Macaca fascicularis: one gene and its partners. The protein of the gene in region 3 interacts with the protein of the main gene of each other region in a pairwise test. Links are inferred from orthologs where the notes say so. Each region holds a gene or a part of one and is shown on either strand. Other genes may lie near its edges.

What was found.
Region 1: the proteins of BAG3 (region 3) and LITAF interact in binary tests that used the Homo sapiens proteins (3 or more experiments, as listed by UniProt). The two-hybrid records come from large-scale screens. The link is inferred for Macaca fascicularis from reciprocal best matches to the Homo sapiens genes BAG3 and LITAF.
Region 2: the proteins of BAG3 (region 3) and ARRDC3 interact in binary tests that used the Homo sapiens proteins (3 or more experiments, as listed by UniProt). The two-hybrid records come from large-scale screens. The link is inferred for Macaca fascicularis from reciprocal best matches to the Homo sapiens genes BAG3 and ARRDC3.

The regions. Positions count from the first base shown.
Region 1 is NC_088394.1:12,312,192-12,316,416, forward strand, and holds the start of LITAF (lipopolysaccharide-induced tumor necrosis factor-alpha factor), read right to left. Parts: upstream 2,925-4,225; 5' UTR 2,812-2,924; intron 1,030-2,811; 5' UTR 769-1,029; intron 1-768.
Region 2 is NC_088380.1:95,376,060-95,380,219, forward strand, and holds the start of ARRDC3 (arrestin domain-containing protein 3), read right to left. Parts: upstream 2,850-4,160; 5' UTR 2,625-2,849; coding exon 2,345-2,624; intron 1-2,344. UniProt on the Homo sapiens protein: Adapter protein that plays a role in regulating cell-surface expression of adrenergic receptors and probably also other G protein-coupled receptors.
Region 3 is NC_088383.1:128,663,264-128,667,639, reverse strand, and holds the start of BAG3 (BAG family molecular chaperone regulator 3), read right to left. Parts: upstream 2,932-4,376; 5' UTR 2,636-2,931; coding exon 2,456-2,635; intron 1,937-2,455; exon of another isoform or gene 1-1,936. UniProt on the Homo sapiens protein: Co-chaperone and adapter protein that connects different classes of molecular chaperones including heat shock proteins 70 (HSP70s), e.g. HSPA1A/HSP70 or HSPA8/HSC70, and small heat shock proteins (sHSPs), e.g. HSPB8.

The DNA of each region.
Region 1 (4,225 bases), on a different chromosome or scaffold from region 3:
TGGAGTGCAGTGGTGTGATCTCAGCTCACTGCAGCCTTTACCTTCTGGGTTCAAGCGATTCTCCTGTCTCAGCCTCCTGAGTAGCTGGGATTACAGGCACTTGCCACCACATCGGGCGATTTTTTTTTTATTTGGCATTTTTATTAGGGATGGATTTTACCATGTTGACCAGGCTGGTCTCACACTCCTGACCTCAAGAGATCCGCCCGCCTCAGCCTCCCAGTGTTGGGATTACAGGCGGGAGCCACCACGCACAGCTGACAAATTATTTTTAAAATCCAAAATGTTTCTATTTCCTATTTTAATGCAGAAAAGTGTTACCCTGAACACTGACCTAATGCATCACGTATAACATGGTTCTAGGTCAACTACAAAGGGCCTCTCCACTTTGATTTTTTCATGCGTCTTACATTTCAGTATCTTTACTCTTCCATGGAAACTTCGCTTCTTTAAGCCGGATGGGATCTGAGCGAGCGCCCCTTGCTACAGGGGGGAAGCCCTTGCCTCTCAGATACCTACCTTCCCAGACACCCCCTACCAAGCTTCTTTTTTGTTTTTGAGTCAGGGTTTGCTCTGTCACCCAAGCTGGAACACAGTGGCACAATCTTGGCTCACTGTAGCCTCTACCTCCCGGGCTCAGGTGATCCTCCCACCTCAGCTTCCCAAGTGGCTGAGGCTACAGGCACACACCACCAAGCCTGGCTAAACAAGCTTCTTCCAACCTGATCCCACCCCCCTAGGAACCCGGGTGTAGACGGCCTCTCTTACCTTTGCTGCACACGCGTCGCTCCTTCCTAGCCCCAGGGGCTGTGTCATGCACATGACCAAGGCTGGCCAGTAGCTACCCAGCATCTCCTGAGCCTCATTGATTGCTCCAGTGATGGGCATGTGATCCAAGCTGAGCCAATGACAATCAACCCCAAGACCCTTGCTGAAGCTCCTTGAATAAGACGAATTGTTTACAAGGCTGGTGAGATGAAAGCCTGGAGCTGTCCGGCACCATCTTTACCAGCAGGTAGAGCAAGCCCACTGGAGAATGAATCCAAGACGGAGAACAGCAGGGCTTGGAGATGGAGACAGGTCCCTGACAGCATGGTCCGAGCTTCTGGATCCAGCCAGGCCTGAAGCTCTTGCCCTCCCCACTTCCCAGTGACACAATACATTCTGCAATGGCATAAGCCAATTCCAGTGGGATTCTGGTTTTTGCAGCATTCTGCTATTCATCCTGACTAATGTACTAGACTTAAAAAAACACAAGGCCTGGGTGCGGTGGCTCATGCCTATAATCCCAGCATTTCGGGAGGCAGAGGTGGGCAGATCACCTGAGGTCAGCAGTTCGAGACCAGCCTGGCCAACATGGCAAAATGCCATCTCTACTAAAAATACAAAAATTAGCCAGGTATGGTGGTGCACGCCTGTAGCCCCAGCTACTCTGGAGGCTGACGCAGGAGAATGACTTGAACCCGGGAGGCAGAGGTTGCAGTGAGCCGAGAACGTGCCACTGTGCTCCAGCCTGGGTAACAGAGCAAAACTCCATCTCAAAAAATAAATAAAAATTCAAAAATTAGCTGGGCGTGGTAGCACACGCCTGTAGTCCCAGCTACTCGGGAGACTGAGGCAGGAAATCATTTGAACCCAGGAGGCGGAGGTTGCAGTGAGATTGCATCAGTGTACTCCAGCCTGGGCGACAAACTGAGACTCTGTCAAAAAAAAAAAAAAAAAAGCCTGTGATTCTCCATTGGCCCAAAACAAGCACAGTCCTGCAGAACACAAAGACACAGTTGCTCCTTGAAAGATTCACAGGAAGGGAAAAATACTTCCCATTCTGTTGTAATGAATCAATACCCAAATAAGACCTGGTTCGTTTCTCAAGCAGGTAATCCTGCCCAACAGCCATGACTCATCCCAGCCCCAACCAGCCCTGAGGTTGGTGGGGCCCCAGATAACTCGCTATACCTGGGGCCGCCCCAGATTTTCCATGTTCACGTGTCTTCTCTCCTTTCACTTCTAGCTAAGAGTCCTGAGAACTCTTTCTAGAGTTCCAAGTAAACACTTTGCAGAACGCCCAACCCAGATCAACACACAGTAGATGCTCTCAGCGCACAAGGAGACATCCGGAGATCTTGCTTTTACTGAAAGTATCCAATCAAAGGGAAAAGACAAAGTTGGTCTTGACCCTTTGTATTTTTATAATTTTTTTTTTCTTTTAGCCAAGCTCTTGCTCTGTTGCCCAGGCTGGAGTGCAGTGGCACGATCATAGCTCGTTGCAGCCTCAAACTCCTAGAGTCAAGGGATCTTCATGCCTCAGCCTCCAAGTAGCTGAGATTACAGGTATGTGCCACCACGGCTAGCTATTATTTTTTTTTTTTACTTTTTATTTTTTGAGACTGAGTCTTGCTCTGTCATCCAGGCTGGAGTACTGTGGCGTGTTCTCGGCTCACTGCAACCTCCACCTCCCGGGTTCAAGTGATTCTCCTGCCTCAGCATCCCTAGTAGCTGGGATTTCAGGCGCACACCACCATGCCCAGCTAATTTTTGTATTTTAGTAGAGATGGGGTTTCGCCATGCTGGCCAGGCTGGTCTCGAACTCCTGACCTCAAGTGATCTGCCCACCTTTGCCTCCCAAAGTGCTGGAATTACAGGCGTGGGTCACTGCTCCCAGCCTATTTTAGTTTTTTTAGAGAATGGCATCTCACTATCTTGCCCAGACTGGCCTTGAACTCCTGGCCTCAAGTAATCCTCCCGCCTCACCCTCCCAGAGTGCTGGGATTACAGGCATGAGCCACAGCACCCGGCCTCACCCCCTCTTACCAAGTGCTGAGCTGGCACCCAGGACCTCAGCAGCAAAGGGAGCTTCACAGGCATCAGATGAGGAAGGCTCAGAAGGCTGAGCACAGGGAAGGAGGCTCTGTCTGCAGGACACTGAGGACTTTGGGGAAGGCACTCAGCCGGGAAGTCAGACATGACCTCATCCTAGTTGAGGTTCCCTAGAAGCAGAGCCTGTGATGGAGATGTGGGTGCATGTGGTTTTCTGGAAGTGAGGGTTCTCGGAAGAGGAGAGTAAGGAGACAAGGGGCAGGAGGAAGAACAGCAGACAGGTCCCAGCTGGAGACCTGATCCCAGGGCAGGTCTGAAGCATGAGTTTTCTGAGTCAGTCCTGCCCAGAGGCAAGGGGGCCCTGCTGAGGACCTGTCCTCGGTCAGTCGGTCCCTCTGGGCTGCCAAGAAGGGTGGGTGAGGGGTGGGAAACAGCTGTGAGCAGTCAGCGGCTACACTTGAAGCCGCCGGCCCCTTCCTTCCTCTTCTTGGCTGCACACCTGCTTTTGGGGAAGGAGCTTGTGAACCGGTTGCAGCCGGGGTGGGAAGAATTAAAGAGACACTCCTGAGCTCAGTGCTTGAGGGCCCAGGGCTTCAGAGGCCGAGGCAGCTGGGATCGAATCTTGATTCTGGGTTGACTCAAGTCTCCTGCATGGAGCTCCAGGGGCGCACAGCTCATGGGGTGCGGTACGGATCACCATGGCCATGTGCTAGGCGCTTTTTCCCCAACAGCCCGGCGCATGGCAAGTGCTCAATGAATCATGGCTTTGCAAACATCTCCAAGTGTCACAGGCCTGGCCTCTATGGTGGGAGATTTACCATCAGTCGCCAGGTGTTGGGGAGGGAAGAGAAGGAGTTCCGGTGTCTTCCTGAACTCATTCCAGCACCCACAGGCGCTGAGTGCACTTCTACCTGGGTCAGGTCTTGCTCCTTCTCACTGAGTGTGAGGCGGACACACAGGACCCCGGCAGAATGGAGGTCATGAGAGTCCAGATAGGAACCAGACCCGTGGCCTTGGGGGGATCCAGACCTCTGTGTTTGGGAGTCCTGGCTTCCCCAACTTCCCCTCCTAGCCTCAGCCCCTATGGATGGGAAAAGTACTCCCAACTGGCATGACCAATCGATTGGTTTGGGGCACAAATCTGGGTCCTCTCCGAGGAGCAACTTGGCAGGAGGTACAGGCAGTCTGGCCTTGGCCTTGGCCTGAGTGCTACTTTGAAAGTGCTTCAAACTCGCCAATGATGTTCTAAAGCCCTGATGACAAACCCCAGCCTTCCGCAGGCCCTGCTCTGGCGGGGACACCCCTTGGGCCTCATTGCAAACCACACGACCCACCTCCTGTGCCCCGCCTGCTCCAGGCACACGGGAGTCCCTGTTGCTCTACAGCTTCAGGTCTCTCGGGCGGCAGT
Region 2 (4,160 bases), on a different chromosome or scaffold from region 3:
CGGGGGCCTGAAGCTTTCGGAAAACAATGGGGGAGGGGGCAGAGGATACCCTTCGAAGCCCCCACCTAGATTTCGATATTGGAATCATTTTCTTTCTTCCCCGGGCCAGCCTCTGCTCTGTCCCCTCAGGTCAACTCAAGGTAGCCAGTGTGGCGACTGGAGAGGTCGGGGAACACGCTTTGTTTCAGAAGCGTTCACAGGAGTCCCCTGACACCTCCTACCCGGCAGATAGCTAACGGGGGTCCTGCCAACCCTTCCCATCCAAATTCCATCTGAAAAGGATTTTCCACTAAAGTTGGGTCCCGGGCCATCCGGCACCTGTAAGGCCGGCAGGAGCGTCTGCCCTCAACTCAGCTAAAGCCTGCAGTCGTTTCCTTTCGATGGTCCTTAGCAGGCCCAAAAGAGGGGCGATAGAACGTGATGTGACACGGGCCGGGCGCCCCCAGAAGCCCGGGAACAAACGTGAGTATGGACTGGGTGGGGGTGGCTCTGGAGGGACCTTTACCGGCGCACGCCGGTTTCCTAGCCTCGCCCCAGCAGCGGCGCGAGCCCCCTCTCCCCACCCGCCCGCGCCCAATCCAATCAGCGCCTGCCATCGCCTTAGCAACAGGCTAACAAACCTGGCTCCGCCTATCCCGGGCGCCCGGGGCGGGGTCTCAGTTACCAGGCTAGTTTGAGAGCTCCCAGTTTCAAGTCATTGAAACTATTCCAGACTGAGCTCGTCTACGCGTTGCAGGGTTTGGGGGGGCATTTTGTTGGGGGTGCAGGGCATTTAGTTTTCTTTACCATGAAATCATGGTGTAACTAATGAAATATTTGTCCTCACAACTCATTGTTCTACTTTTCTCCCATTGCAAGTCTCAACCTCTTGAAGAAAAATCTGTTTCTTTCACCCATTTCATAAAAGGCTGCAATATTCAGAAAGGTAGAAACACAAACTCATCTATCTGCTTTTCAACAAATACCAAGACTGTCATTAGGCATCTGCATCTCCTATCAGTGTTAACGCTTGGAGACATTAATTAGTTATTTCAGGATGCAAAGTACCTGTATCTACGAAAATCCTACTAAAGAACTGAGTTCACCTTAATAGTTTCAGAAATCATGCATTAATACTGCCCCTCAAAGCATCCTTCATTTCTCACTTGCCTTAGTTCAGTCATCAGCACCTCTCCAGGATGTACGTTTTTAATATAAAAAAGAAGGTAAAATATGGCTCTAATTTTTTTCTGAAAAATCGCCAACATCTGAACTAAATACTGCATTAAAAAGGAGAGGCACAAAAATTACATAACCAGTTTTAACATTATATTCTTCTTGGGCTAGGAATTAAGTCATCGCCACCACCTGACGCGTGTAACCAATCTGCTGAGAGCAGAACAAGCGCCCCTCCTCACCACCCCCCAGAACTGGTCCGAAACAGGATTGAACCGCTTCTAACAAAGGGTGGAAACTTAGAAAAACAAGCCTAGACTCTCCTATATTTCCACAATGTAACCACTTAAACAATAGATTGGAAATCTCAGGACTCCTTCTCCCTTTGACAACCCTTTATCTCCCTCTTCTAACCAAAAATCAAATCCAGTGTGCCCTATACTTTTCAATTCCATTTGACTGGCATGGGTTTCATTGAATGCACGTTCCAAAGTTAGACATGATGCTCGGAAAAGAAAATTACTGATCCTAAATGGCTTCTAAAACTGACTCGATACCTATCATAATGACAGACAGTACCCTTTAAAATAAGGAATGCTGGGTGTAAATTTTTAAAGGAATGGGAAAGAATAGAGAAAAAACACGTGGGGTGTTGATACCATATGTCAAAATAAGCCACATAAACCTTTTATGAAAGCACAGTGATCAATTCTTTAAAGTCTTTTGCATTCCAAAATTAAAAATGAAACACGCCCATTAAGCCTCTTAAAAATGTTATTACATTTCTTGATTGAAGTTTAGTTTTTACATCTTAGGTTGCAAGTAAAAGGGCAAAAATCTAAGACTGCAGCTTTTAGCAATTCATTTGAAAATATATTAGTAAAACGATTGCATTGGATTCAAGCAGAATTTATAAGGTGCAAATGGACTACAAGCGCGTATGGCACAGACCAAGCCGGGTATAGAGGTAGTTGAATAAGTGTAGTTTGCAGTCACTTTGCAGATGCCTGCATGCATTACGGCTTAACACACGATGAACGTCAAGGAGAATCCAAACCTTCCAACTTTGCTAACCTTTATCAAACTGCTTAGTTATACTATGAGTAGAATCACGTTAATTCAGAAAACTGAAAAGGTACGTTTCCAAAGAAAATGAGTCCAATGACTTCTGAATAACAGAAAAACTTACCTCTTTCGTGCCCAATTAAGATGTCTTTATGGTTGAAATATTCTACTTCTTCAGTGTAATTCTGTGTATAGGCAGTATTGGAGCCGGCGTTTCTAGATTCAGTCCAGCGTACTTTCGCATGCCCTCTTGCATGAATTTTAAGAGATTTTACTCTGATTTCCCCAGTAACTTCTAAATTTACCCTTCCTGAGACAGTATCCCCACTAGAATACACAGGGACATTGCTGTCATTAAGACAGTCAAAGCTTATTGTCAAACTCTTCACCTTTCCCAGCACCATGTTTATAACAAAATCTATAAAAATATAATGTAAGACAAAAAAGTCAAGATCGCATATAAAATGTGATCTTCACTTAACACTGATCGATATTTTTGCCGTGCAAAATGCTTGCAGGCCGGATCAGTGATTCTCTACAAATAGTTCATTGAGATTTCTTAAAAAGTCAGGGCAGCAGAAGCTGCTGCTCCGCGCTCCCGCTCGTCTCAGTGGTCTCCTTACAAAGACGGGCGGCTAAAGGCTGCCAGCTCACTTTAAGAGCAGCTTTGTGAAAAACAACCCCAATGCGCAAGCGCAGGCCGCGGCTGCTGTCCGCCCTCCCTGCGCGCCCCCTCCCGCGCCGCGCCGCGCCGCGCTCGCTCCCTCCCTTGCTCGCTCGCTCCCGGGTACAGTAGGTGTAGAGTTAGGGGAAGGAGATACTGGAGCTGCCGGCCGGCTGAACCTGACTTCTCTTCATTGTGGGCTCCTATTGGTAGGCAGGCTGCCGTATACCCTCGACGTGCTATCTGGAGCCCCTTACCGAGCACACTCTACTGGAAAGATAATGGCAGAGTGGGGCGCGAGGGGACAAGGCCTGGGTGGGGAGTTTGCAAAGCCAAGTAAGGATAAACTGCAGTGACCACCCCAAAGCGTGCGTTACTGGCACTGCAGCGTTTTACCAACTGCCTGGATGGGAGGAGGAAAAAGTGATGTGTGAAGAGAGATGGGGGAAGGGAGAAACCGGTTGGGCAAGCGGCCGATTGTTGAGCATAATCTAACGAATTTTCAAAGAAAACGTAATAAAACTGGACAAGAAGTATTGTTCATAGACAAGAGCATACTTGGCTTGGATATATATATATATTTTTTAAACCAGTACTTTGTAGGCAGGGTGGAAATGAACTCAGTCGAGGTCAAAGGAACCTTAGTCCTTTGAAGAGCGAGGTAGAGAAGCAAGTACAATGTAATCAATAGGCTTTTTTGTCTCCTCAACTTCTTTCTCCTACATCGCTTAATTAGATAGCACCGAAAAACAACCAAGTTGTTTCCAGGATGACACGGGTGGGGGCTGGGGGGAAGCTTGACCACTTCCTCGAAGGAAGAAAAAGTCCTTTTTAAGACACCACCTACGGCTAGATTTGCAGAGTAAGACATGATTACAACTCCTGTGTCCAGAGGAATAAGAATAGAGTTCGGCCTAAAAAAGTACCATCTTATAAAAGGCATAGGACATAGTGGTTTAGCTGACATATTGTTTGCAACAGAATCGGAAAATCTTTGTTAGAAATTAGTGAAGCGCATAAAATTGTTTTTAAAAAGCATGATTTGGTATATAAATAGGGGTTAACTGTGAAGCTTTAATTTTCGGCCGAAAGAGCCTTGGACCATTTAACGTAGTAATTCTCATGATACATCTTAAATATAGGTACATTTCTCTTTTTATTGTGAATGTTTGGTAAAAAATAGCAGTGCTTTCGTCACATCACACTGGGATTCAGAGCATAACAGCATAAACTCATCTAGATTACTGGCAATCAACAGAACTGCCTTACAAGAGAA
Region 3 (4,376 bases):
GATTGACAGCATTTCCTCTTGAAAATGATGATGCTCACACGGGCCTCAGCTCAGCTCCTCCAAAGCCACCCTTTGTTTTATGCAAGGGCCCTTTTCTCATGATGCATTGAGAAGCCCATTCCAAATACAAAATGATATTCTAGGATTCTCCACTACATTTAGTCTCCAGCAAGGTGTAATTCACACAAGTGCAACCAGATATTGTGTGCGTCTAAGAACAGGGTTGAAAGCAATGAAGCACAAACAGCTAATGGGCTGAATGTTAGTTTTCTCCTTAAGTTTTGGTGCCATGCTGACAAGTCTCAAGTCATTCACTTCGTAAAGAGAACTCTTTTCTTGAGTTGATGACGTCCCATCATCAAAATCCAAGCAACCACAGCACAGAGGTCAGTGACCCAATAACTTGGTGGCCAGGAGGGCACAAAGATAATCAGGTATTCTAGCCTGCATGCTTCAGTTTCACAAAACATTCACTTCCAACTTCTAACAGACACACCACCTCTTACTAGAACTTTCCTGACATTAGTTCTCTCCCTGTAATTGGTACTAGCTGGATGACCTTCAAAGTCACACCTGAATTCTCTGGGTTTTTCAGAAAATAAGAGATCTTCTAACTAAGAGATCTTCAAGGACCTTTCAACTTAAAAATTTTGACTATGAAATTTTCAAAGAAACCTTTCCAGCATCAGACTTCTGATGTAATAGTTCTTACTTTTTATTTATTGAGAAGAATAATGGCAGCTAAACCTGCTTTTTTTCTTTTAATAAGGTTTATGAAACCACAGCCTAACCCATGCACCAGGTGGGTACAGGAATATCTCAACTTGCTGGGTAAGTTTCATGCTGAGAACAAAGTGCTGGGAATGTCTATGTTCAAACTTGATCTTCACTCACAACAAAGGCTGCCAGCAGATACCACTGTCCCTATGTCCACAGGAAGAAGGCCTCAAAATAATAGTTGCAAACCACACTAAAGATCAGGTACATCCACGCAGACGCCTAAGAAAGGTGGTTTGAAATGAGTGTCAGTTTCACCCAAAAATGGGCTGAACACACACACAAAAAGGTATATGCAACTGTGCCCACCCCAGCTAATTACAGCCTCTTGTATTAATTTTCAAGAATAAATACACAAGTAATCTCTCGTAAATGTAAACTGCTGCCTGTACAGTGTCTCACTGTTGGGCACCGGAGTTTTATCAATATTGTTAAAACAAAAAGTGCATTAAAATGAAGGGAAATAATACAGGTCTTTCTTCTAAAATAATGGGTTACAAAGTATTTTTAATTTGGTGAGTTTTAAAATCTTCAAAATAATTTACCAGCTCTTTGCTGCTTTTATCTTGCCCAGACGGCAGTAACAATTACGCTTTAAGTATAACATTTTTTTTAAAAAAACTTTTTATTTTGAAAGCTCAAATTTATATAAAATTGAACGAATAGTATAACTATGATTTTTGAAAATTAACAGACTCATTCCAAATTTACGTTTTCAAATTTCATGCTCTTGGGGATTAGGAATATCGTTGCATATATGTAAATGAGACATACTTCTGCTGTATTCCCAAGAGTATCATTACTCAGTTATTTGTGTACTGGTAACAAATTCTAAGTATTTTAATACCATAACAAGGCAGGAAGCGAATGCCATTATAAATATACACGTATCATTCTCTTTCCAGTGTGAGGCAATGTGGTAAGGCAATGGCCAACTGTAAGTCTCAGATCTCTAGTTTAGAAACTGCTGGGGAGAAGTGCACCCTCTTTTATATTTTACAAGTCATACTAGGATACATTCGTATTGAAAGCACTTTCAAACAATAATACAATTTTAATTTAAAATACACACACACGCGCGCGCACATATATATGAATGTTTTGACACCAGCCTCCTGAGTCATTGGGTGCCTAAGATGGGACAGCAAACAAGATACCCCTCAACCAAGTTGGAGAACTTGAGCGGTAAAATTCCTCCCAAAAACCACCATCCAAGCTTGCGAGGGTCCCCCTCGAGTCCGCGGTCAGCGGGGTGCGCCGCGGGTCCCGGGACCGGAGGCCGAGCCGGCAGCAGTGGCCGCGGCGGGCCGGAGCCTCCGGAGCTGACCAGGCCGGCCGCCCCCTCCGAGCCCGGGAGCGTGAGGCCAGCGTCGGACACGCGGCCCTCCGCCCCGAGTCGAGCCGTGGACGGCACCGGACCCACTGCGGGGTCGCTTCCCGGACCACCGGATCGCGGGGCCTCCTCTCGCCCCGACTCCTGTAAAGGGCGGGTCCGGAGCGGGGACTCGTCCGGGAGCACCGGGAGTGTGTGGCGGGGCGCGGAGCCGGTGTCCGCCCGCAAGGGGCCTTCGCCGGCCACCGGGCCCCGCCGCCTGGCGTCCCCCCGGCCCAACCCACTCCCCGCCGCCTGCCGTCGAGGTGGCGCCGCCGACCAGGGCGGGCCGCGGGCCCAGCTCACCTTGGGGCCCTCAGAGGGCACGCGCGGGTCGTTCCACGTCGTGGTACGGCTGTTGTGGTCCACGAAAAAGGGCCAGCCGGTCTGCGGGTCGATCTTGATCTCCCAGCCGGGGGGCAGGGGGTCGCGGTCACCGTTGCCGGACGCCACCTGCATCATGGGCGAGTGGGTGGCGGCGCTCATGCTGGGTCGGGGTCTGCCCGCCGGGGCGCGGGTGTGGGGCGCGGGCTCCGGGCGCCGAGTCTCTGGCCGGGCCGCCGCCGTGGGCCCCTCTCTGCCGCCGACGTGTCCGGGAAGCCGGCGCCGGGCACCTTTATGAATTAAAGGCGGGGGTGACGTGGCCAGAGAGGGGTGGAAGTGTCTGGAAATAGCCTCCTCGGTGCCAGAGGGGAAGGAGGCGATAAAGGGAGGTAGCAACTGGCCGGCTAGAAACTTCTGGTCCAGTCCAGAGAAGTTGGCCGCGGCCCGGGGTTGGACGCGGAGCTCCGCCCTGAGTCATCGGCTATAATCGCGGCGGGCGGGGCTGAGGGGCCGGGGCGGGGCCTCTCCCCGCTCGCCCCTCCCCCACCTTCTCCCGCCCCTCCCCCCGCCGTCTCGTGCGCGTGCCCGGGCCGGAGTCGCCGGGGGCGGGCGCGGGCGCGTCTTCGGGGTCCGCCTGCGGGTGGGGCGCCGGAGGAGCGGTACTGGGGGCTTACTCCGTGGCCCCGGGAGGGTTTCGGCTTTCGCACTCGCTCTCTCCCTCTCCTTTGCGCCGACTGAGTGTTCCTGGGGCTGGAGCCCGTGCTCCCCGTGCCTGCCGCCCCTCTTTCCTGTACAAAGCCATCTCGCCCACCCCCACCCCACCCCCATCCCCCAACCCCCCCATATATGATAGCCGGGGACCATGAGGGCTGTCCGGGAGGAGCGCGGGGACGCTCATCTGACACCAGAAGGAAGCCAGGGAGAAAATGGAAGTTAGTGCAAACTCACCTGCCTTCCTTTGGAAACTTCAAGAAAAAAAGAGATTGTGTCAGCTGATGGCTTTTAGTCTCCTAGACTAAAAAGAAACTTTCGTTGCGGTGAACAGCTTTAAAGAAAAATCACATTTTCTTGGATTCGGATCTTTTTTATGGTAGAAGTTGGTTCTTGCAGTCTTACATCTTGACCCTCATTTGGGAAGTAAAGACCGAACCTAACCATGACATTTTTTGTTTGGTTTATTCAATTGCACTTGTAACCTGTCAAAGGAGAAAATTACAACACATTTAAAGATCTTTTCTGTTGTTGTTGTTGCTGATTCTCATTTTTTAACTTTTGTTGTTAAAGATCTTAATTTTATTTGTGATTCTAGAATTGGGCAACACCTCCATTAAATTAGAATAAGTGCTCCCATGAGCTGAGCAGAAGAGGTTGATTTTATAGACAGAGAAGGGCTGAAGAAAGCAGAAACAAAGAACCAAGACTGGATTGGTTGTTTCAAAATTACTTTCCTTGTAAGGAGGGGACAGCGAGACAGAATCATAGAAAAATAACTGATGAGGGCTTGCCACCATGGCTCATGCCTGTAACCCCAGCACTTCGGAAGGCCAAAACTGGAGGACTTCTTGAGTCCCGGAGTTTGAGACCAGCCGGAACAATACAGTAAGACCCCCATCTCCACAAAAACAAAAAATAAGCCAGGTGCAGTGGCTTATGCCTGTAGTCCCAGCTGCTCAGGAGGCTGATGTGGGAGGCTCATTTGAGCCCAGGAGTTTGAAGCTGCCATGAGCTGTGATTGTGCTTTTCATGCCAGCCTAAGCGACAGAGCAAGACCCTGTCTCTTTAAAAGAAAGAGAGAGAAAGAAAAAGAGAAATGACTGGTCATCACCAGGTTACATACATACAGATTACTATACAATTGACCCTTAACATGGGTTTGAACTGAGCAGGTCCACTTGTACATGGA